4 linked regions of the Drosophila melanogaster genome follow. The protein of the gene in region 1 purifies or fractionates together with the protein of each later gene. This does not show direct contact. Each region holds a gene or a part of one and is shown in the gene's direction. Other genes may lie near its edges. The genes, in order: Rab39, prd1, ema and unc-104.

Region 1 (4,094 bases):
TTGTGGCACTTGAGGAACGACTGGCTGTCGGCACCCTGCTTCATCTGCTCCCGGAGCACCTGGCGCGGCAGCGTGGCCGCCGAAACATAGCGAAGCAGTCGCTTGGACACCACTTGGCCACATGCTGCTCCCGCATGCCCGTCGAAAATGCCACAAATGAAGCCGTTGCGGTGCAGGAAGCTGGCCTCCGTGCGGGAATCCTCGCAGGGCCAGTTTGATCCCAGCTGATTTGTTTCATAGCTGCGGATGACTCCATCCACGGGAAAGTTGTAAACGAACTCGTTCTCCCTCAGAACAAGGTTAACCTGTGAAAATAGTTTACATTAATACAGATTCTTACTCTTTATGTGGGAATTACAAAGGTTCCCATGGTAATAGTTATTAATCAGTTAATTCTTATTCGGTTCCTAAAAATTTTGTTCTTAAGCCGCTTGGTATGGACTCTTGTCCAGTGCAAACGATCAAATGAAATTAACTGCTCAGTAAAGGCATTATAAATGGTTGCTGTAGTTGAAATATGAATATGGAAAATCGAATACAGTCGGGTCGACGTCGTTCACTTTGTTTATAGGAAAACACTCGGGACTTTCTTGAAAGCCCTTGAAAGTAGTTATTGGATCTTCAGAAAATTATGCAGGCTTTATAGTTAAATTTTTAAACGGCTTAGGGATGTAATGCATAGATTTGTGGTTTCTAAAAGTAGCTTCAATAGGAAAAATCCAAAATAATTAATAAGTAAAGAAGTACTTTCGATCGAAGATCTTACAAACTGATTACATTTTACGAACCCTGCCCAGCTTGCTAATGACACTTGCCAGGAACCCCAAATCTTACATCGTATGGACTCAATTGAGGCAGTTGCGGCAGCAGACGCAGTGCATTCAAACTGAACTCCCGCACATTGGATCGCACGTAGCTGGCGGCGTCGTTCAGCACGAACTTGAACATCTATATGGAGATTTTGTATATGCTCTCGCCCCGCTGTGGCTATAATTAACGGTAATGATATTGGTTCCGTAACCAAATCGGGGGAGGAGTAGGCAAAGAAGATGGAGGAGAACGTGGTGGATTCCGTATCCCGGAGCCTCCGGCTGATTCACCGACTCCGGTTGCCGGTTGCTGACAAAGGGATCTTATTTTCCGCTGTTGCTTTTGATTGGCCGGCGGCTTGTTTGTACATTTGTGTGCTGTGAAATACGAAGCGGACGGTGTTCACGGAAAACAAACGTAAAAAGAAAATACAGTGCGTACTAGCGATGGGTTTTTCTCTGCACGAGACAGCCTAGAACGAAAATGAACACGCACGTCTTAATTTATGTGTCAAAGCACTGTACAAGGCCAAATCTTTTTGTGTAATTATTGTAAATTTATTAGCTTAATATGAAAGATTATTTTATTTTTTTTGTCATATTTTCTCAGAACAATTTAAACTAACTACATTTGTATGCATTCATCGTGTCACGCGAAATCGCGTTCTTTGACCATCTCTATTGGGCGGCGGTGCCAGACTGGCGGTGTTGCCATTAGCCGGTTACCGTTTTCAAGCCAAGTCTAGCTAGTTTTTGTGTACCGCCGAAAAATACATCTAAGCTTGTTAAAAAATCTGAAAACTGCCAAATTGATGTGAGGACACTATTTTTATTAAATAATTTAGAAGATATAACTGTTTAATAATGGTAATGAAATAATTTCATTGTGGCTACTATCGATTACTTTTGCTGGTCTGGCAACGTTGTCATTATCACACACACGCGCACGCATATGAGAAAAAAACACAAAACAAAACAAAATTCGAAGGAATTTGAATTCTCGAATATTTATAATTTAACAACCACCAGCGACAGCCGGAAATATCTCATTGCAAAGCCAGTAATCGTGTGAAGAACAGAAAGTTTCGATTTGCAATACAACTGCAGGAAATAAGAAGAAAAACGAGCAGCATAAGCAAATCAACGATTTGCGTATCAAACTTTACAAAGGGAAGGCAGATTTTTTGCTGCGGATTCAATTCCAAGAGACAAATCCCTCGAATTCGGCTTCGGAATGGTGGAACCCATTTTCGAGTATCAATTTCGACTGATTTTAATCGGCGACAGCACCGTGGGCAAGAGCTCGCTGCTCAAATTCTTCACAGACGGCAAATTCGCCGAGGTGCGTATGTCCAACGATTTTGGCCACTGTACTTGGACGCTTGGCCCACTGTGCGATCTTCGTGAGATGCAGTTAATGCGTTCATTACATAATTAAGTGATTGCATTGGGCGAGATACAACAAAAAATAGACAAAGGGAGTGGATTTTAAAAAGATGCTGCCTTAGTCACCTTGTCAGTGTGTGTGTGTGCTGGTGTGCATGTTTGTGTGCTCGCCTGATAATGCAGGCAGCAAAAACAACACACAAGTCCAAAATAGGACCAGGGATACTCAAATAACTGCGCGGGAAATTTAAAAACATAGAGATATCATGAATTGTGTGGAATCAAAAGTGTTCTCAAAAGCATTACAGCTCTAAACTGCGTTTCTTTTTACTGCCTCCCAAGAATCCACCTAATCATAAATAACACAATATTTACATTTTGCAGTTATCCGATCCCACAGTTGGCGTCGACTTCTTTGCCCGCCTCATCGAAATGAAGGACGGCACACAGATCAAGCTCCAGCTGTGGGACACTGCTGGCCAAGAGCGCTTCCGTTCGATCACCAAGTCCTACTACCGGAACTCGGTTGGCGTGCTGCTGGTCTACGACATATCGAATCACGCCAGCTTCGAGCACATACCGCTGTGGATGATGGAGGCACAGCGTCACATTGAGCCCCACCGCCCCGTTTTCGCATTGGTCGGCTGCAAACTGGACCTCATCAATGCGGGCGGACACCGGGAGGTGACCACAGAGGAGGCACAAAAATTTGCCAAACAGCACGGTCTGCATTTCGTTGAGACATCGGCCCGGTCTGGTGCCAATGTGGAGGAGGCATTTCGCATGGTCACCCAGGAGGTGTACGCCCGCATTCGATCCGGCGAATATAAGGCGGAGGATGGATGGGACGGCATCAAGTCTGGCTTTTCGCGACCCAATAGTCTGGACTTTAATCTCGTCGTAGCAGAGCCGGAAAAGTCATCATGTTGTTGATTCACCCCGACCTCATTGTCTATTATTTTCAATACTGTTTATGTACATTGATTTGTATCGTATGACCCACCAGTACTCCTTTTCCCCCCTAAACACCAATTTGTTGACTCTTTAATCTTGTTTAATCGTCTAGTTTAGCTAAAAAACCAAAACAGTTACGTATATTTACACAATGCGTTTTTTTTCTAATTACATATAGTTAATCGCTTTTAAGTTAATATTTAGTTCGGTGACTCACGGTAATTAGTGAAGATTGAGTTTGAACCCCTCTTTCCAAATTATGTTTACTTCGCCCCTATAATTGATAGCCAGTCACACGAGGTATACGTAGCCGAGATTCTGCGCTCCTAACTCATACAACACATAACTCCACATACACAAATACGAAAGGAAAAGCTATACATATACTTAAAACTTGAAATATAAACGTTTTTATTAATACGGACGGCATGCATTTGGTTAATCAAGGGTTAGCTTGGGCTTTGTTTTTGTCTAATCTAATCGATTTAGAGTTTTTATGCACATTTCTCCGCTTTGTTAAATCAAAGGAGTCTTGAAGCAATTGTCAAAAAAGCAACCTGTGTGATACACAAACGTTCGTAGCTGCACGGTTTCCAAAATTTACAATTTTACAATAAAAGAATTCGCGGCATATTTGGCGGCTGTTTACATATATGTGCTTTATTTCGTTTATTAAATTTTTCGCAAAGTTTAGTCCACTTGATAGATAACCCAAAACTTAGCTGCGACGATTTCTATTGTTGTTTTACACCTTCGTAGTTGTGCTCAATCAATCTAGATTTTGTTGGAAATTTCCATAAATATTGGTGGCCTCATCGGTCTGGCAACAACAGGTAATTCCTTTAATTCTTTAATCATTACTTGTTTCTTAGTAGTGCAAATTAAATAATGTAATGTAAAGAAGTTGGAAAAATCTTTTTCAAATTTGTTCGCGCATGTGACAGT
Region 2 (7,817 bases), on another chromosome or scaffold:
GAGTTACACGGGCGGGTATCGCTTCTGGTTTTATCCAAAACGATATCCAAGACATGACCACAATCAGAGCCGAGGGGATGTAGGTGTGGAACAAATGGTAACCCAGGCGTCGGCGCAGGTTGAACACAATGGCCAGGCAGGTGAAGTTACCTAGAGATAAAATAAATATAAATTATATTGAAAAAAATGGCTTTTAATAGTTTAGTCTTACCTGTTGAGTACTCTATAGTACAGTCGGTTGTGTAGTTATTTGATATGTCTAGCTGCGGCAACTCAATCTCCGTGTTAACCACAAGTGGGTCGGTCATGTTCCAAATGAAAACCAAATCTTCCACCGTATGGGATACTGCCAATCAAAACTCGGTTCAACACAGATTATTTGTAATTCGAGAAGCGGAATGGAAAGTTCCAAGCGATACGGGATTTGCAGGGTGTAGATAACCATTACATTTCCACCTACAACTCTCGATCATCATGGAGCAGATTTGCGTGTCATGCGGATAGGACTCAAACTTCATGGCGCACGACAGGACCAACGTGAGTTTGGACATATAGAGCAGCGTTTTGTCGTGGTACAGCCAGAGATAGTGATTGGGAATGCTCATCTCATGGAAGGTGACCTTTTTGGCGTTCTTAAAGAAGCAATCGGGCCGCCAAATGCTGTGCAACCAGTCGACATCCAATATGCGATACTGCTCACTCATGTTCTCAGGCAACCGCAGGCGAGGATCACGCCAGCTTTGTGCAAGGAAGATGTCCGTCACATAGGTCTAAAGGAGCATGATAAGCCAATTAGTGTTTGCTGAGTGATGAGTATTGAAAAGATGAACACATTCTACTGACCATAGACTCCTCGTTAATGGAGTCCAGGGAGAGGACCGTGACATGGAAGTAGACTACTGTGGGCTGGCCGAGGAGCTTGGGAGCCCGGTTCTTGTCGTACGTCTTTGAGGGAATGGGCAAAATGTCCGGGAGCGAAAGACTCGACTCGTAGTGGGAGACCAGCTCGGCGCTCTCCGTGTTATTTCTGCATATGTGGAACAGAACAGCCCTGTGGCGTAAATCTGATGAAACTGGGCAAACGCACTCGGACTCACCTGTAACCATGAACACAATGGCAGTGCTGGATCGATTGCTCCAGCGCGTGCAAATATATTGCCAACGCAATCAGGCACCTGAATTCTACCAATTTGCTAGTTGGGCTTTGCATTATGAACACACTACCTTCGGCTTTGATATTGTTCCTCTGGCACTCATTGCTCCGCAGTCCATGTCAATTCCCAAAGTAGCTCATCTCTGGGTGCGCTTGAGAATGAACTTGCTCGGAGGATTAGTAAGCGAGGAATTATATTTTACTCGTCGCGCAGCAAAAACCAATAAAGAAACGGCAGAGTTATCGCGACGATTGTGATGTGCTGCAAAGTGTGATAAATTGATTTCTAAGGTTTCATTCGCTTTCATTGGCATTCGCCCACACTACACTACTTTTCAAATTGACAACTGACCCCGGTTAGCGAAATGGCAAAGAGGAAATGATGTTCGCACCCACTGACAAGGGCATTAATTTAAATGTCCACTCTGTATTTGCGAATAATATCTGTGAAATATGAAAAACCGTTTGACTGCGCGAAACAAGCGAACTGGGCGCCAACTGTCGATGTCAAAAATGGGTTTATCGGCATGTTCCGGCATTTGCTTTCGAAGTACGTTTTCACAAACTGTTCTGGGTTTGCTCTTAACTTTAAATCCCAATTTTCTTGAAATGCAAATACGTGCTCTACAATATTTTAAATAAAAGCCGAATACAAACTTGTCTTAAAATTGAATTAACTCTTCAGGAACATTTTACATAATGTGTTAAATAATTGTTGAATTTTAAAATTTACAAAAATATTATTTGAAAACCGGAACTTCCCGTTGCTGTAACAGGCCGCGTTGCCAACCTCTTCTCTTATCTGGCAGCTCTGGCGCGCAATCAGCTGTTCGCGGAACTGGCAACTCTATGAGGTCAAAATATTGATTGTTTCACTTGCCAAGACGTTTTTTTTTGGCAATTCTAAAATGTACAAGTGGCGATAAATCTGCACATAAAACTCTTAAAGCAAGCGTAAAAGGAAACGTAAACCACCCAGATCGACAGTAACATGGAATCCTGCGATACAATCGCAGGTGAGTGACAGAAGCAGCGGTGTGTGAATTTAATCCCGGTGCGATTTTCAAGGGGGTGCTGGGTCAGGGGTCATTTTCCTTTGTGCACTGGCGCGATTTGCTGCGGCGCATTGTGCAACTTGTGGATATTGATTAATAGCAAGAACGCCGAGATACACAAATAATGGTTTACCGACTTTTACAATTTTCCGTAGGTTAATAGACGAAAATCACTGCGTAGATAACTCTTGACAAGTGCGAAAATCGAAACGACCATGGAATCACCTCTGTTGCCCAAGGCCAACAACAATTTGGGCATGGACAAGATGAGCTCCAGCTTGAACAGCAGCACCATGGAGGACACCACGCCCAGCGATTCGGGAGTACAACTCCTGGACTCGGAAAACAGCGATGTGATGGTGGAGTCCATTTGCTCCTACGAGGAAAACGTTAGACCGATGCCCCTCCCTTTGGTGGATCCCAACTCCAATGTGACTGCAGCGCCGGATGAGTCTATGACCATTAGCGAGTGCTCTACGTTCGACACCACGGAGAAGATTGTATACCGTCGCAAAGTGCACAAAGCTTCGTCCGCCTCCAAAACTCCCAAAAAGCGAGTGTCCTTCCACGAGGACATACTGAAGAACACTCGTACCGACAACATTCACATTGAGCATGGCTTTATCACCTACAAGAACGGACGCAAGTTGGCCTTCGCTAACTCAGCGGGCGTGGCCGGCGCTCCAGGACGATATTCCTGGTGTCCGGATCGGGAACGTCCGGAGGGACCTAATGAACTCAGTGCCGCTGGCAGGGAAGACGATGGCGAGGAGGCTACCGGTGGCGGAGGTGCCAGGCGAAAGAGACATCTGGTCTACCGAAATGCCTGCTCGGATGTGCTGGACTACGACAACATTTTTGACACGGACGAGGCGCCCGGTCTGCACTATGACACCTCAGGTGTCTTTGAGTACGGCCCTGCGACCCAAAAACAGGAAGAGCAACCCCAACTTTACAAGTGCGTGTGCAGCAGTTCCAACTCCAGTTTGGATTCCGACGAACAAGACAAAAATTCCAATGCGAATTGTAAGCAGTACGAGCAGGCTAAGAGCAGCTCATGTGATTGCATTGGTATGAGCAATGCTAACAACAATCTAATCGGTAAGCTATATAACATTCTGCTTAAATCCTTGTGATGTATATCCACATTAATCTTTATCCCACAATTAGGTGACAATTGCTACTATTCAGAGCCCAATATCGGAGATGCTGACAGTCCCAAAGTCAAGTCCGTATGGAATAAGGAGAAGAAGCCGAAATCAAGCTGCTTAAAGAAAACTAAGCTACATACAAATGTCATACTCGAGCAGGATCTCAATGGGCGGGTAAAAAAGTTTAACGTGCACGACATTAAGCACCAACTGCTCGACAACAGTAGCAAGATGATATTTGGATCGCTAAAGAGCATCTTTACCATGCCATTGCCGGAGCGCGGAGTTCCCGAGGGCTCCGAAGACCTGCAGGCGGTGGTGGAATGCGTCCCTGAGCTGGAACAGACACCAGAGCACAAATCGCGGCCGGCGGCCGAGTCACCGCCTCTTAGAGCTAAGCCATTCCTCAGCAAGAGTCTCGACGGCAGCAAGCAGGCACAACCAGTTAAGAAATTCGTGCACAACGTTGATGAGCAATTGCGGCATAAGAACGAAGACGATGGTGCCAGCTCCACGGAAGCCTCGCCGATGGAGTCAAAACAGTCACTGATGTTGCATCGCCAAGAGGAATTCGATAAGGAAACAGTGCCAATGGGCAGCGCACAGGGCGAGTTCCGCAGCAAGTTTATAATTAATTGTGAGAGCACTGTTTTCGAACACACCGGAGTATCCTACGAGACGGGGGATCTGCAATCCGAACTCTCATCCGGTATTCAGCACACCAGTGTAGCCAGTCTGCTCGAGCAAAACACTCCCATCGCAGAGCCGGCCGCTAGTCAAATTAAGAAATCATTTTTGGATGCTCCCATTGCCAAGACGTTTAGTAATTTCTTTCGAAGCTTCAAAGACAGCACACCAGTTGCAAAGGACGAGCAAGCAGTCACAGATAACTATTTTGGTGAGCAAATAATATTCATTTGAATTAATATTTTCCCCGATGACTAACACTGTTCATTATGCTTATATAGCTTCAAAAATCGCTAAGCCGCAGCAACAAGCACCAGCCGCGGGCAAACTTCAGCGCAACTTTTCCTCATCAACCATATCCGAACCTAGTTCGAACACCAACACCAGCAGCAACCATCAAATCGCAATGAATCCGCAGCTGGGCAACGCGGAGCGTCAGTCTCGACACCTTCCTTCACCGCTCAAGAAGCGTGGACAACCCTTACAGCCGCCCCGTTACTACGACCAACAGCATCCTCACCAAAGTCGGAGCCTCCACAGCCCCAGTGCCTACCTAGCCGCTGGACGCGGAGGACCAGGAGGTAGTGGTCGCGACTCAAAGAGCACTATTCTCAGCGAAGAGTTTGACGACATACTAACTATAACCACTACAGATACAACTAATGCGCGCTCAATGGACAGCGATTTGGTCATCGTAGACTACACAGATGTGGACTATGCTCACTTACTGAAGCCGCCAGCTCCGGCGGCCAAAACTTCACTTATAAATAGGTTCCTTCGTAATGTCACACAGAAGAAAATAATGGAAACCTCCATACGCAAGAACAATTTCTTTGCCGATAAATTGAGAACCGAACAGAGGCATGCCGGATCCGATCTGTATGTGAAGGGTGCTCGGCCAAAGAACTACGAGCTTATAGATGACTTAAATGCAGAGATTGCCATGGAGATTGAGATGTGTGGCACGAATTCGCCGCGACGGGAACTTGCCATTAGTTTGGATAACGATTTCCAAGGCAACTTGTCCAATTTCGAACTTGGCATTGGGGAGATCTCAATTGATGTATTCAAAGGAAAGTCCTTGTTCAATCTGAAACAATCAAATGAGCAGCTAATGAAGGTAGATTGTAATTGTGTAGCAAATAGCAATCAATTATAAAAACTTATCATTTCAGGCTTTCAAACTGTATACAGGCTACAATGTAGATGGCATCATGACACCTGTACTTGTCCTACTCACTGATAAAACTCTGTATGTGGTGAATATGGAAGGAAATAGTCTGTGTGTCAAGTTTGTTTTGGCCTACAAGGACTTGGATGTCATACTGGTAAATGTTAACGGATGACATTGCTGTGATATATTAGTTAATGCAACATCATTTTTTAGATGGGACCTTTTGGCAACACAGTTTTGCTCAGCAACAGTAATCGAGACATGCAGCAGGTCCTGCTCGCGGGTGGTCCGTATCCAGCCGGATCCCTGGTAGCCAACCTGGAGTTGTGTGCCCGACGCAGTGGATCCACTCTGCCTGCAGTTGGTCAGCTGACTCTAGAACATTTGGCTCCACTGCAGGCTTTTGTGCGTGCCAACAGCTGTGTTGGCGTAGCAGAACATTGGATGCTCTATGCAGTGGTTAATGTGCCAGCTGGAGGGTCAATGAGAGTCGAATCGCCAAGCGAACTGCTGGGACCTTCAATGAAGGGATTCCTCATGCATCGAAGACTTAGGCAGACGATCAGCACTTCAGCAGCGAACAGAATATTTTGGCAACCAGGATACTTTTTACTGAAGTTCGTAACTCTCGATATTTGAAGGAATTCAATTTAATATGTGTTCATTTCTTAGAGCTGGCGTATTGTATATGTTCAACGATTCCACCCAAAGGCTTCCCAGCTGGGCCATGGCCCTCGCCGAGTGTCAGGGCGCCCGGCGAACTGTGAAATCAGAGCGCCCCCACTGCTTCGAGATTACGCTAAAGGGCGAAGTCCTGCAAATGGCTGCGCCCGACGAGTATGTAGCCTCCGAGTGGCTCCAGGCTCTTTTGCAATCAGCCAGTGGCGTAAGTAGACAATTAATATTAGAAGATTTGTTTTAACTTTTTGTTGTGTTTAGCTTGTGGTTCAAGAGGAGAAGCACAAAACCCTTGGATGCACGTTGATCGTCACGGATAACCATTTAATAACCCTGCGTGAAGACTTTTCGGCTCCTCTACGAAAAATAAGCCAGCAGGCGGATAACAATGCAGCCGTTCAGGGAAATAAAGAAACCATGCTTGAGGAGGATATGCTCAGTGTTTTTGAAACCAGTAGCTTAGTAAGTGCGCTTATTGTATTAGCAAATCAAACTTCGTAATCATTTGGACTTAAAATTTTAGATGGGTTCCACCATTAGTACTCCTACCCGTGGCACTCAACATTCATATTCCTCGTTAAGCTCTACGCCTACTAAGCAAACAAACGAAGATGCAGCTCCGAAAGAAACTGTAGCTTCGCCGGAAAAATCACAAAGAATGACCAGTGTTTACGGAAAGAACTCCGGTTTAGCCATACTAACTTGTGCGGACATCAAAGAGATGACTGGCATTAAGATAACCTCGCGGAGCGAGACTTGGTGGTGCATTCTGGAGTTCTCCTGCCAGGAGGCACCATTGGAAAACCAGGACGATTTGGTTATATTCTTTGCCAGCAGCATGGAAATGCAACGTTTCCTGCGGTTGCTAGAGCAGCTTTGGCAGTCTAAGAATGTATGTTTCTCGTTGACTACTAAACCTTTCCTTAGCAATAACGAAATATTCTAATTTTACAGAACGATCTATTTCCAATAACCATACTAGACGACGGTGACTCTCTGGCCGAGCAATATAATAAACTTTATATGGACACAAATAGGGCCTGGGAGCCTTTGCTATCAGCTGCGCTGGGTTAACGTGGCTCTGGCCATATATACTCCATTTACAAATAGAAAATTATATTTCCATATACATTACTCAAGCGTTAAATATTCTATCCTGAATACTCAAATAGCTAAAGAACAAAAAGTATTGATATTTATATAGTCTGTATGTATTATGTATTATGATTTTGTAATGCGTGCCTCCGCTTGACTCATTCATTCGTTTGCGCTTAGTAACATCTCATTTGAATAATTTTTGTGATATTAAACTTAAAGTCGCTGATCTTTGGTATGCTCTTTTGTAGGATATTTAGTTTCTATTGATTTTCTACATTCGTTATTTCTTACCTTTTATAAATACATTGTGTACAAATATTGCACAGATAATAAGAAACAAAATATTATACATAATCTAACTTATACGAATATTGGACATGTAATCAATCGGTAATGTTATGTTTTGGGGGTGCTCTTTTGGTCCAAGGATCATATCCATATGATATACGACAAACAATATGTGGCTATTTATAAAATAAACAAAACAAACATTTATAAATGTGTATTAGGAAAAGTGTGCATGGTGGACTTAATCTTATTTTGCAATGCTGTGCCTCTCCTTTTCAATTAGCATAGATTAAATTCCCCTCCCAACGCCCGACATTTCGCTGTAAGCCTTTCAGCCCACTAAAAGCTCATGATAATTAATAAAACCAATAAACGCCATTACAAAACGAATTTTTATTTATTCTGAGCTCGCTGATGGTCCTTGACATTTTCAATAATTGCAAGTGGTGAAAGGGTTTACAGAGGAAAGGGTTTTCTGGGCTCTAAGTCGGGTTTATGCTGTGTGGGACCCTATATTCCGAATGAGTGTGGGG
Region 3 (7,192 bases), on another chromosome or scaffold:
CCTTATCAGCAGACACGAGCACCTTGCTCTCCTTTATCTCCACTGAACTTGGCTGGAAATCAGGGCGGGCGAATGGGAACTTTAAAATATCGCAGCATTTAAGTTGGCCGCATGTTTCGGTGGGTCTCTACAAAGATAGGCTTGAAAAGGCTATTCTCACGGTAGCTCCTAACTCACCTGCTCTTCGTCCGTGAAACACAACTCCAGATTACCGACCAGCGGCTTGGCGGGGATGTATTCACTCAATTTATAAGCTCCTAAGTCCATTTTTCCCGTATTTACCAATTCGCATGGGCAGCAGTCAAATCGTTAACAAGCGGTAGTGTTGGAAAGAGTTTATTTACAGCTTCCCTTATCAAGGGAAGCTGTAAAAGATTAAATGTTTATTTTAAATTGGTCTTCATCTTTGCCAAATACAACATTAAGGATTATCCTTAAATTATTTGTTTTAAAAATTATCTGTACCTAACATTTCTTAGCTTGGGAAGGTACCTAATCAGAAACCTACCTTTGTCAACACTGTACGACATCGGTGTTATCGATATGCACAGTTATCGTTAGCATGAGGAGCTTTATTTGTTGCTGAACAACAAACCGAAATCTCCAGTAAATTCGGTAAGGATCAATTTTAAAAAGAATGGCAGGCAACGCCAACAGTGACGACGAATTCCATGATGCGATCGGGGAGGAGATAACCGAAAAAGAGGCCACCAGCACGCGGCAGAGCGAAAAGGACGTGGATGAGATCGTGGAGAAGCAAAACCAGCTGGCGTTGGATGACGAAGCGGAACAGGGCGCGGCTGGTGGAGATTCCATCGCGACACCAACGACAGTGGACTCTGAGCTAACCATTGAGGAGTTGCGCGAACGGGAGAAGGATCTCAGCCCAGAGCAGCTGACAGCTAACAAAGAAAAGGCCGATAAGCTGAAAGTTGAGGGCAACGAGTTGTTCAAAAATGACGACGCCGAAGGCGCCGCCAAGACCTACACAGAAGCCTTAGACATTTGCCCCTCGGCCAGCTCCAAGGAGCGAGCAGTTCTCTACGGAAACAGGGCTGCTGCCAAGATTAAGCTGGAGGCCAACAAAGCGGCCATCGACGACTGCACAAAGGCTATAGAACTGTGGCCGGAGTATGTGAGGGTGCTTTTAAGGTCTTTATTTTAATATCTCCCTTAAAATTTCTAAAGTCTAATTACATCTTACAGGCGCGCCAAGCTCTATGAGCAAGAAGACAAGCCCGACGAGGCTCTGGAGGACTACAAAAAAGTTACTGAGATCGATCCCGGTCAGCAGGAGGCTCGCGAGGCTCAGATTCGGCTGCCGCCAATTATAAACGAGCGCAACGAGAAGCTCAAAAACGAGATGATGTCCAGCTTAAAGGACCTGGGCAACATGATACTCAAACCGTTCGGACTGTCTACACAGAATTTCCAAATGCAACAGGATCCCAACACGGGCTCGTATTCCATCAACTTTAAATAAAAACCTAGCTAGCTAATGCTCTGCAGATCAACAAATAAAGCCGTATTCGTGGATGATGTGTAAAATAATAGTCAAACTGTAGCAAAACGTATCAAATTCAGTTCTCGTACATTTTCACCTCTGTAGAATATGCAAATGTGAACCCATTTTCATAACAAACGGTACCAAAAAAATCCATTAATTATATTTAATGTAAAATGCATGGTGTGATATGCTATTAATATATGAGGTTTGTTCCAAATTTTACTGTCTGGTTTTACAAAATTCAAACGGTTCTTTTGAGAGGTTTTTAAAAGTCGTGAACCAGTCGCAGTTCTCATGCAATCACAACAAAATAGCCACTTGTCATCTCTGTTACTTCGATACCGATAACCATAAATATGGGCGGAAGCAACAGCTGACTGTGACACTTGTGTTCCCCGTGAAGAAGAAGAGCAATTTGTTGGAAAAAATCGCCATTCGCAAATTACAATATTAGATTCGTGCAATCGCAGGCATTAGGTGCCCCCTTATTGTGGGCCAACCCAGTGGCGTGACCGTGAGCAGTAGTGCATGCAAAGATCCAAGAGAACAGCGCTCCCGCACTCCTCCTTACCCTGATATGAGAGCAGTCAGGCGGATCGTGGCCAGTTGATTCCATCCTAGTTGCCAACATGTTCCGGAGTCGCAGCTGGTTTGGCGGACCCTGGGGTGGGCGGCCCAAAAACCGCTTGTCGCTGGAGCACCTTAAGTACCTGTACAGCATTCTGGAGAAGAACACCACCGTGTCGGAAAGTAATCGTGGCCTGCTGGTGGAGTCGCTGCGCTGCATCGCAGAGATCCTGATTTGGGGCGACCAGCATGACTCGCTGGTGTTTGAGTGAGTATTAAGCATCTCAATGTAATAAACCTTAATCTAATTATTTGCAACAGCTTCTTCTTGGAGAAGAATATGCTATCGTATTTCCTGCACATAATGCGACAAAAGAGTGGAGGCTCGAGTTTCGTCTGCGTGCAGCTCCTTCAGACTCTCAACATCCTCTTTGAGAACATACGCAACGAGACGTCCCTGTGTAAGTACAATTTTCAACAGTTTCTATAATACAGTAGACGTAATCATTCCTATGACGTTGCAGATTATCTGTTGAGCAACAACCATGTAAATTCTATCATGGTGCACAAGTTTGACTTCTCCGACGAGGATGTGATGGGCTATTATATACTTTTTTTAAAGACGCTAAGTCTAAAGTTAAACACTCACACAATACACTTCTTTTACAATGAGGTTTGCATTGCCTAAAACACATATTTACATCCATTTAATGTGACATATTCCTTACAGCACACAAATGACTTTCCCTTGTATACAGAGGCTATTAAGTTCTTTAATCATCCCGAGTCAATGGTGAGAATTGCAGTGCGCACCATTTCCTTAAATGTCTACAAGGTTCAAAATCCAAGCATGTTGCGTTTTATTCGAGACAAGTACGACCTTTGCCTTCAGTCCCATGAGCTCCATTAAACTATTTTTTTCTCCCTAGAACGGCTGCTCCATATTTCAGTAATCTGGTCTGGTTTATCGGCAAACACATTCTTGAACTAGACACTTGTGTTCGCACAGATATAGAGTAAGAGTTATTGTAATATAGTCCCTCGTTTTATAGTATTGATTTCTTAATTCATCCGCAGCCATCAATCGAATCAAAAGCTGTCCAATTTGGTTGCCGAGCATCTGGATCATTTGCATTATTTGAGTGACATTCTTCTACTGGAAATCAAGGATCTGAACGCGGTGTTAACCGAGCACTTGCTGCATAAGCTATTCGTGCCTCTGTACATATTCTCACTTACACCAGCTCCGCCCCCGCCCTCACTGGCAGTGGTTACCCAGAATCTAGCTGCTGTGCTTAATCGCAATGTGGACATCGACATACAGGAGATGCACAATCCGCGAGTGAGCTCCATCGTGGCCCTTTTCCTGCTCTCATTGGTCTTCCTGGTGGTTTCGCATGCCCCTCTGGTGCACGCTCTGGCCTGGGTTATCCTCAATGGTGACCACAGCGTTTTTAAGGAGGGTGCAGCCGAGATTCTTAATTCATACGTTGAGCACCGCGAGGTGGTTGTGCCTGGCTTCGGCGAGCCCGACGAGAGTCTCGAACAGGCCTTGGATACAGTCACCGGTCAGTCCAGCTCGTCCAGCTATGCCCTTAGCGAGGACAGTGGCGTGGAGTCCTCATCCCCAGCCACCACAGAACTGGACTCTCAAGCAGATGCGGTTGAAGCGGAGCAGATTAAACTGCGCAACATAACTGACGAGGAAAAGCAGCTGCTGCAGAAGTCATCTTCCTCAACGAAGGCTGACTTTGCTGAGATGGCCAAACCGTTTTTAGACACGGTCCTGCATGCTTTGGACTGCACCGAAAACGATTACCTTGCCCTGCTGTCGCTGTGCCTCATATATGCTATGTCGCACAATAGAGGTAATATTCATGGATATTTCCCTTAACTCAATTTGACGTTTTTTTTGGCTAATGTTGTGTAACTTTCCATTGCTCTGATCACCCCATTTTTGCTTCATTCTAATTGCTTTCTTTGTGTGTAATGAAAATGTCACATTCTGGTACATGTCCCAATCCGTTCAGATGGTATGTAACTCGTCCACTGCCCGTACTAATCAATCGTATGCATCTATCATAGTCTCCTTAATAAATATCTTTATGTACCTTTCCATATAGGCATCAAGAATGAGTGGTTCGAGCAGGTTCTTGCAAAATCAACCCGTGGCGCCTTCAGTTATAAGACAGCCTTGATTGAGCATCTGTTAAACATCATCACCCAGTCCAGTCAGCCATGTATGTACAACTGTTCGAACTCCGGTTATCATTAGCTCTTTAATAATTCCATTTGAATTCCCTAAAGCGTCCCGCATTCGGTTGATTACCGTGGAGATTGCCTTGGAGTTACTGGTCACTTTCACCCGTCCCAGCTCGGATGATTCGCGCTGCATAACCGCCGCACAACAGGATCTGCTCTTCAGCGCCCGCAATCAGTCGATGGTGGTGATCCGTAACTTCTACAAGTCGGAGGACATCTTCCTAGACCTGTTCGAAGACGAATACAACGAGATGCGAAAGGCGCAACTGAACGTGGAATTCCTGTGCATGGACTCCACCATTCTACTGCCTCCCACGGGAACGCCACTTACTGGAATCAACTTTACGCGACGACTTCCCTGCGGGGAGGTGGAAAAGGCACGCCGAGCCATTCGCGTTTACTTCCTGCTGCGTCGCACGTGCCAAAAGTTTTTGAATGAGAAGGAATCGCTATTGCCGCTTACAAATGTAGTCAATCTGGTTCAGGTGGAGAACGTACTCGATCTGAGTAAGTATACTCCTCCTACGATGATGTATGTATATATTAAGGCTAACCATTATCCATCTAGACAATAGTGATCTAATAGCCTGCACCGTTGTGGCCAAGGACAGCAGCAAGCAAAGACGCTTTCTGGTCATTGACGCATTGCAGCTAATTCTCGTCGAGCCGGATGCAAAGCTGCTTGGCTGGGGCGTGGCAAAGTTCGTTGGCTTTCTGCAGGACGTAGAGGTGCAGGGTGATAAGGATGACTCGCGCTGCTTGCACATCACCGTGCACCGGGGCGGAGTCACTCACAACCGCACTCCGTTGCTCTCGGCTAAGTTCCTGTTCGACGATCACATCCGTTGCATGGCTGCCAAGCAGAGGTTGACAAAGGGTCGTAGCAAGGCGCGACAAAAGAAGATGTACCAGATTGCGCAACTCATCGAGATTCCTGGACAGATGGACTCTCCCGTCTACGCTGTTGGTGGCACAATGGTCGCATCCAGTAGCGGCGGAAGTGGTAACAGCAGTGGCAGCAGTTCGCGCAGTAGTCACCACCGTCCCATGTTCTCCACGGCCAATCGAGTGCCGGGATTTGCAGCGGTGCTGCGTGGAAGCAATAGCGCTGGGGTTAGTCGAACCCAGATGGCCCCGAATCGATCCATCGAAGGGTAAGTTCACGTCGGTGTGTCCTCATGTTCCTCATTTCCATCCTCATCTGTGCGTCTTCCCGCAGAATTAGAAATGAAAGCGCTGGCCGCTCCCGACGCCGCAGTCCCAGCTCAACTTCGGGCTCGAATCTTAGGGCCGATCACTCGGATCGGGAGCGATCGCCCAGTGTTAGCATGGGCAGCCACAGCTCCTCGCAGTCTCGGGAAAACTCCCAGCCCAGAAGTACTGGAAATCGGTCGCGGGAGAGCAGCCCTAGAATGCCCAGGCCGCGGTAACAATGAAACATTTTCGTTAGCTCTGTAGTCTTAGAATGGTTTCTGTTATAATTGAGATTTGTAAAGTATTGCAGTATTCTAAACTAGTCTTTCTATTTTTTTTAATTGGATTACGCCCAAGACATCAAAAAGTTTATTTTATAATTTATCGAGCTGTTTACATGATTCTCGAAATTTGCTACATTTTTGGCTCCTTGGCCAAAAAAAAATCTTTAAGATTGACTAAGTTTGCTTGTAATACCACCTTGTATAATTATGTATAAAGATATCGTTTGTCCTATATTTTTATATTTATTTGCATATTATTTTGACAAATAAACAAAGAATAGCATGCCTTTAAGCCCTCCAGTTTTATCTGTCCTCGTTATTCTATGTGTTTGTTAATTATAAAATTTACTAATTTTCACCTAATCGAGTTATAAATAAATGTGTAATATTTTTTCATTCTAGGTCGGAGGAGATTCCTCTCGAGGACTTCCAGCACTCACGGAACAACAGTCCGCACTCTCGGGGAAACCCCTCGCCTGCCTCCCGCTCACACACACCCATCCGCGTGCTCCACTACGATCAGCTGTCCGGTCATAGCGGCTCACCACGTGAAGCGTCCCTGGGGGGAACTAACGCCCTGCTAAGCCAGTTAAATGGGCTGAACCGTGAAGTGCTCCCAACGCAGAGCTCCGAGGAGACTTCTTTTATTGGGAGCGACGGAAACGAGGCCACTGGCGGATCGGAGGGCAGGCGACGGGGGGCCATAGAGACGGTTTAAGATAGACTAGAAGTTTTAGTATTACATTGGAAGCAGCCTTATGCTTAGATTGTTGCTAAAATTTTGTTATTCCAGTTGACTAATAAGGTGGTACATACTCTAATTCCTTTTCATTTTAAATAAAAACTAATTTGACGAATTTGAGCTCAAGTCTATATATATATTAGTAAAGAAGTATGTTTTTTGAACCTTCGATAATGGAAGCCACAAATTATTGTTCTAAAATGTGGGTTTCTTATATTTCGCATATGTTCATTTTTATAACAAGGTTTTACTTTTAATTTTACTGAATTGTCTATAGACGCCAGTGCTGTTTTGTAGTCAGTTTTCAAGTAAATGTTCTATAATAATCTTTAAAATAACGGTCAATACAGGTTTAAAATTTGAGGAATGTCCCTATTGTCGGCCTTTTGTGTGAATGCCAACTGCACTTGGAAATCAGCTGTCGCTTGTTTTTGTTTCGTGACATAACCGCAATTTACTAAAACTTAGAAACTTAACTTAAATTATTTCATGAAAAGCATAGCAAACTAATATTAACTATGTCCCACAAGTACACGGAGCTGATTAAGGTCGGCACGCAGTATGCTCGCCGGATGAACTACCTCTCAAATCGCATTTTCGGCGAAGTGGCTCGCACCACAAACGAGAAGTCCATGA
Region 4 (4,716 bases), on another chromosome or scaffold:
TGCCACGTTGATAATGATGTAGCTAATGTAAACCAAGAGTACAACTAAATTTTAAGTCAGTGCCATTACATTTTTGCGAAAAAGAGAAAATCGACTTGGGCTATTATGCTTACTGAAAAATTTAAATTCATAGCCCAATGCGAAATGGTTTGTCGTGTATGCAAAGTAATCCATCAATAAAGTCGCTAAGAGAAGAAATAAAATGTCCCGGACAGTTTCGTAGGAATTCATCTTGAAGGGCGAAATGTAGAATATTAGGCCACCGGAAATCGTAATCACAAACAGGGCTGACGACAAGTTATTGGCAAACACAGGGACATGTCGTTCAACGCTGGCCAAGTTGGCGAAAAAATCGGCAGAAGTGTTTCCAAATGCCATCAGGGTAACTCCCGCCAAATGCTCGTTCATATGAAGGAATCGGGATACGGCCTTCAGAGCAGGACTATAGCTGCAAAAGCAAGCATTTCAAGCTCAATTTTAATCTTCGCTTTAGTTAGCTACTTACTAAACATTGATTGTGTAAATTAGTAGAACCAATATCTGAAAGCAAAACGCCACGAACAAGGCGATGAAGATCATTTCCTGGAACTGATTGATACACTTCAGATCGCAGGCCAAGAGTCTCATGTATGGAATTACATTTGTGCTCGAATTGCAGTCCTCCGCTTTCTGTACGAACTCACATCGCTCCTCGAACGGAAAGTTGTTGGCCGCAAAACAGCTAACCGTTTTCCAAAAATTGTCGAATTCCGCATCCAACGCGTTTTTCACGGTAAAAACATCGGATTTGGTTGTTTTTGTGTCGATGGCCGGCATTTTAGTTTTACTTGTTTGTAGTCCGAAATCTTGGCGTTGAATTGGGTAAAAGTGAAACTAGTTCTGGGATTACTTTGATTTCCTAAGAGCTATCAGAAAAAACTAATTCAACAATTAATTCCGGCTACAATCGCTGTTTTCGATGATAATACTTGTATTTTTTTTTTTGCACTTTAAACCACTTGTTAAGCTTGTAAACTTCATAATTAAAAAAAAGTTAAATGTAATGATGAAAGATTCCCCACAGATGAGGACGTCCAGCTTCCAGCACATTCTTTTACCAAGCCCCATTCTTTAACATTTCCCTACCAAAGCCAAAACCTCCAACTTTTTACTGCCCTCCCAGCCTCGCCGTCAGATTTCAATGTCAATGTAATTACGCCGTAGAATATATACATAGTATACAAATACCTACTACCGATTACCGACTACCGCGTAACATAAAAAGCCAAAGCTTGTCCTGCGTCTCGGTGCGATGGGAAATCAATAAAAAGAATTCACTTTACGTCATCAGCTGGTGGATAAAGCCGTCGCTATAGCCACTGTGCCGGCAGCGATATGTGAAATGGCTCATAATAAGATCAAACATCGGGGAAAATTGGGGGTCTGCCACAGTGGCCGTCCGAAAAAGTGGACACCTTGCGCTAATAATGAAATTCCTTGTGCCCGCGGATGACAGACGGTCGTTTTGTTATTGCGGACCTTTTACGCTATGTGTATGAAATTTATAAAAAAAAAAATTTTCGCATACCCATATATACCATACAGCCCACACGGTTGCTGTTCTTCCAGTTTTGTACCCCGATTGCGGCGCATGCGTCCTGCTGGTGGGCTGGTCGTCGTATCCTCTGAACTTTCCCAGAACTGCTCACTGTGTCGTCTACCCTTAACGGGTGCAGTTCGTTCTGGTCTCGAGAGTCGTGCGCGAATTTCATTTCCTAAGGCCTTCCGCTGACTGGCCATCGATTTTGTGCAGAAAAGCTCAGAGTTTTCATCAGCGAAAAGTTGCCCAACCGTTTAAACAAAGCGCAGCCAAGTAAAGCAACTAACAAGTTTCAAATTAAAACAATTCGATACAGTGGCAAACTAAAACTTTATCAATTATTTGTCCCCCAAAAAAAGGAGTGAAAATTTTTCGCTGTTATACAGAAAGACAGACCCCTACACATATATACACATATACGAGAGCCTACATATATATATAATATATATTCAAAAATCCTTTAGCCAAGTCAAGAAGAAGAAACTACGCGAATGTGCGCTTTTGGTTACCTATTGTTTTTCGCCCTATTGTTAACAACAATTCTGGTGCTGTCCATTATATTCGCCACTACCTCCAAGCGATCCATGTTGGATAGCTTTGTACTAGTATTCAATTACACACAAGAACACCAGCCAGACCAAGAAATGCAGCAACAACAACAACCAACGGACTATCAGCAACAACCACAAATGTTCCTAAAACAGAAAATATTTTGAGTTCCATGGGTTAATGAGTATAATGCCCCGAAAAATAATAAAACGAAACAGAAAATCAATTGGTAAATGCTTCAAAATATATTTGCAAAATTTCATCAATTCGCTCGACCGAACATTTCAAAATTCTCGATAAAACATAGCCCATAATTACGTTTTACATAATTTTGATTCGCTAATTTTTGCCCCCCCCCATCATCTAGTGTACAGTGGCCTCCAGAGTAGTGTGCATAGTGTGTGTAGAGTGTAGAGATTTCCTGGCTCGGTGTCCATGGCAAAGGCAACTTGAAAATTTATTAATAAAGGTCAAGAAGAACGCAAGCGAACGCAAGGATATTACCCACGAATGAGACGGGGCGCGCATATGAGTGTGGTGAGAGGTCCTGCATACGGTATTAAGTGCCCGCCGTGTTGCCCCGCAGGAAGCCATAAAAAATATGACGCAGAAGGCAACAAAAGCGTGGTATTGCAAAGGACCTCGAGTGCTTAGTTCGTTTCTCAAGTGCAAATGAGGGTTGACTGTGTGACGAATAAATTTTCAAGAGCCTGGCCAGGTAAAACGAGCTAAGGACGTTGAGAAGTGGACATTCTCGAAAAGGATATAGCCTGATTTTAATTTCTTATAGTCGTTCTTTTATCGTTTCGTGCGCCTTCAACCAGCGTCAGTCTGCATATCATACAAAAAATAAATAAAATACATTACACAAATATTTAGCATATCCTATCCCACTTTCGCTCCCACACTCTCTATATATACTCTCGCCTTTCTCTGTCTTCTCTCCACATTTCTCCTGTCTCGCGCTTCTGCGCAAATCTTCCTGTGGAGACTTTTTACTGCAGGCTGTTGCACATTTGCTTTGACAGTTTGTTCGGAAAATTGAAAGAACAAAAAAAAAACATAAACAAAAGTATTTTGGTCAGGTAAACAAAGAGAGAGAGAGAAAGGACAGGAAAGAGAGAGCAATTCTCACAGCTGCGCATTGGAATGGCTTCTAAACTTGGTTTCACAATATTTCAGGACGCTAGTGTACGCGAGTGAAAGAATTTCTCAGTTGGTCAAGTGAATTTACCACTAGAAAGTTAATAAATAAAGCAAAGAGTGACAAACGAAAAAAAAAACAAATTTTACCTTATCAAACATTAACTAAAAATCAAATCACACATAAGTGCAATCGATTCCTTACAACTTATGCTATAATGAGCTTTAAGGATATAGCCGCCCAATAAGCCAGCAATCGTTTGGCCTAAACTAAAGGTAATTTAATCTCCATAAATGGTAGTTATTTGTTTTAACAAAGTTAAGAAATATATTGAAAATACGCGTTATGCATCGCCTTTAAAGGGTCCTTTCTTTCTTTTGTGGGGTGTGAGTACTTTTCTTTATTCTGCCTCTTGTATTTGCTCGATGACTCATTCGACTATTGGCCGACACTCGTCTGCGCTTTTATTGGAAGCATTTGTGGATTGTGGAATTTTTCCCCCTGCTTCAAGTGTGTGAGTGTGTGTGCGTGTGTGTGAGTCAGAGGGTAAAAACTAGAGGGAAAACTATTTGCATTAAAATCCATTACGATAAGTGATAAAACTACTGAAAAACAAACCTAAAATCTAACAAAATTATAAAGAATTTTTAACTTTCTTTAACTGTATCACTTCTTATTAAAAAAAAAGAGGAGAAAGAGAACTCACCTAGAATGTTTCGAAAGCAATAAATCTTCAATCCTTAACGTCTATTGTTTTATAAGAAATTTGTATTATAAAATAGTTGGCAATGTACCCGGCTTAGTCTTCGACGTATTGCACATATAGGACAGCAAATAATAAATTCTTAGCCCCACCCCTGGCTTCAATTCAAATTTCCCTGGCGAGTTGCCGGGGGTATGACTCATAGCTTCGAGCTGCCACAGAAACAAATCGTGGACGAGTGTATAACCATAAAGTTGGGGCAATTATAAAATGTCAGTGCTGGGCAGTGGTAGTCTCTGGCCAATTTGCAGCCCACTCGAATGACTCGAATGTCTATAAAGTATTCCCGTTCCTCTATTTCCACTCCAGTTAACCGGAAACCAGGACACCCACAGAGAGGAAGAAGGACAAGATGTCGTCGGTTAAGGTGGCGGTGCGAGTGCGCCCCTTCAACTCGCGCGAAATAGCCAGGGAGTCGAAATGCATCATCGAGATGGCAGGAGCCACAACGGGTGAGAATCCCATAAACACTCTAGATTTCTCTTAATTAAATACTTCAATCTTATGTCCTGACAGCCATCACCAATCCAAAGGTGCCGCCCAACACAAGCGATTCAGTAAAGCGCTTCAACTTTGATTACTCCTACTGGTCACATGATGTAAGTTTTATTTCGAGTCCAAGAAAAAATTTTACTTAAATTTATATTCGCATCACAGCACCACGATGCCGATTTCTCCACA

What was found.
Region 2: the proteins of Rab39 (region 1) and prd1 purify together in Drosophila melanogaster (affinity purification with western blotting; one study listed by BioGRID). This does not show direct contact.
Region 3: the proteins of Rab39 (region 1) and ema purify together in Drosophila melanogaster (affinity purification with western blotting; one study listed by BioGRID). This does not show direct contact.
Region 4: the proteins of Rab39 (region 1) and unc-104 purify together in Drosophila melanogaster (affinity purification with western blotting; one study listed by BioGRID). This does not show direct contact.

What each region holds. Positions count from the first base shown.
Region 1 is NC_004354.4:7,733,185-7,737,278, forward strand, and holds Rab39 (Rab39), read left to right. Parts: upstream 1-1,738; 5' UTR 1,739-2,043; coding exon 2,044-2,151; intron 2,152-2,579; coding exon 2,580-3,128; 3' UTR 3,129-3,572; downstream 3,573-4,094. Other genes in the region: Pdp (pyruvate dehydrogenase phosphatase), read right to left, coding at 1-305, 835-948.
Region 2 is NT_033777.3:11,780,975-11,788,791, reverse strand, and holds prd1 (pruning defect 1), read left to right. Parts: upstream 1-1,777; 5' UTR 1,778-2,169; intron 2,170-2,363; 5' UTR 2,364-2,423; coding exon 2,424-3,309; intron 3,310-3,378; coding exon 3,379-4,257; intron 4,258-4,327; coding exon 4,328-5,166; intron 5,167-5,221; coding exon 5,222-5,374; intron 5,375-5,433; coding exon 5,434-5,837; intron 5,838-5,892; coding exon 5,893-6,106; intron 6,107-6,159; coding exon 6,160-6,360; intron 6,361-6,421; coding exon 6,422-6,790; intron 6,791-6,852; coding exon 6,853-6,972; 3' UTR 6,973-7,661; downstream 7,662-7,817. Other genes in the region: HisCl1 (Histamine-gated chloride channel subunit 1), read right to left, coding at 1-150, 212-346, 461-770, 844-1,027, 1,098-1,210.
Region 3 is NT_033777.3:16,436,363-16,443,554, reverse strand, and holds ema (endosomal maturation defective), read left to right. Parts: upstream 1-1,893; 5' UTR 1,894-2,136; coding exon 2,137-2,342; intron 2,343-2,395; coding exon 2,396-2,535; intron 2,536-2,598; coding exon 2,599-2,747; intron 2,748-2,804; coding exon 2,805-2,947; intron 2,948-3,003; coding exon 3,004-3,090; intron 3,091-3,151; coding exon 3,152-3,942; intron 3,943-4,197; coding exon 4,198-4,314; intron 4,315-4,381; coding exon 4,382-4,843; intron 4,844-4,904; coding exon 4,905-5,490; intron 5,491-5,555; coding exon 5,556-5,762; intron 5,763-6,216; coding exon 6,217-6,532; 3' UTR 6,533-6,675; downstream 6,676-7,192. Other genes in the region: CG14882 (uncharacterized protein), read right to left, coding at 1-127, 178-267; Ttc1 (tetratricopeptide repeat domain 1), read left to right, coding at 638-1,152, 1,207-1,483; mRpS33 (mitochondrial ribosomal protein S33), read left to right, coding at 7,075-7,192. UniProt on the Drosophila melanogaster protein: Required for mitophagy, autophagy and endosome maturation, possibly by acting in multiple membrane trafficking pathways. Required for endosome trafficking and maturation.
Region 4 is NT_033778.4:16,762,969-16,767,684, reverse strand, and holds the start of unc-104 (uncoordinated-104), read left to right. Parts: upstream 1-1,684; 5' UTR 1,685-1,852; exon of another isoform or gene 1,853-2,070; coding exon of another isoform or gene 2,071-2,295; exon of another isoform or gene 2,296-2,324; intron 2,325-3,310; 5' UTR 3,311-3,547; intron 3,548-4,344; 5' UTR 4,345-4,387; coding exon 4,388-4,487; intron 4,488-4,551; coding exon 4,552-4,634; intron 4,635-4,692; coding exon 4,693-4,716. Other genes in the region: CG5348 (uncharacterized protein), read right to left, coding at 1-44, 114-448, 506-816; CG42392 (uncharacterized protein), read left to right, coding at 2,071-2,295. UniProt on the Drosophila melanogaster protein: Required for presynaptic maturation, has a role in axonal transport of dense-core vesicles carrying synaptic vesicle precursors, components required for the morphological transformation of axonal growth cones to mature boutons.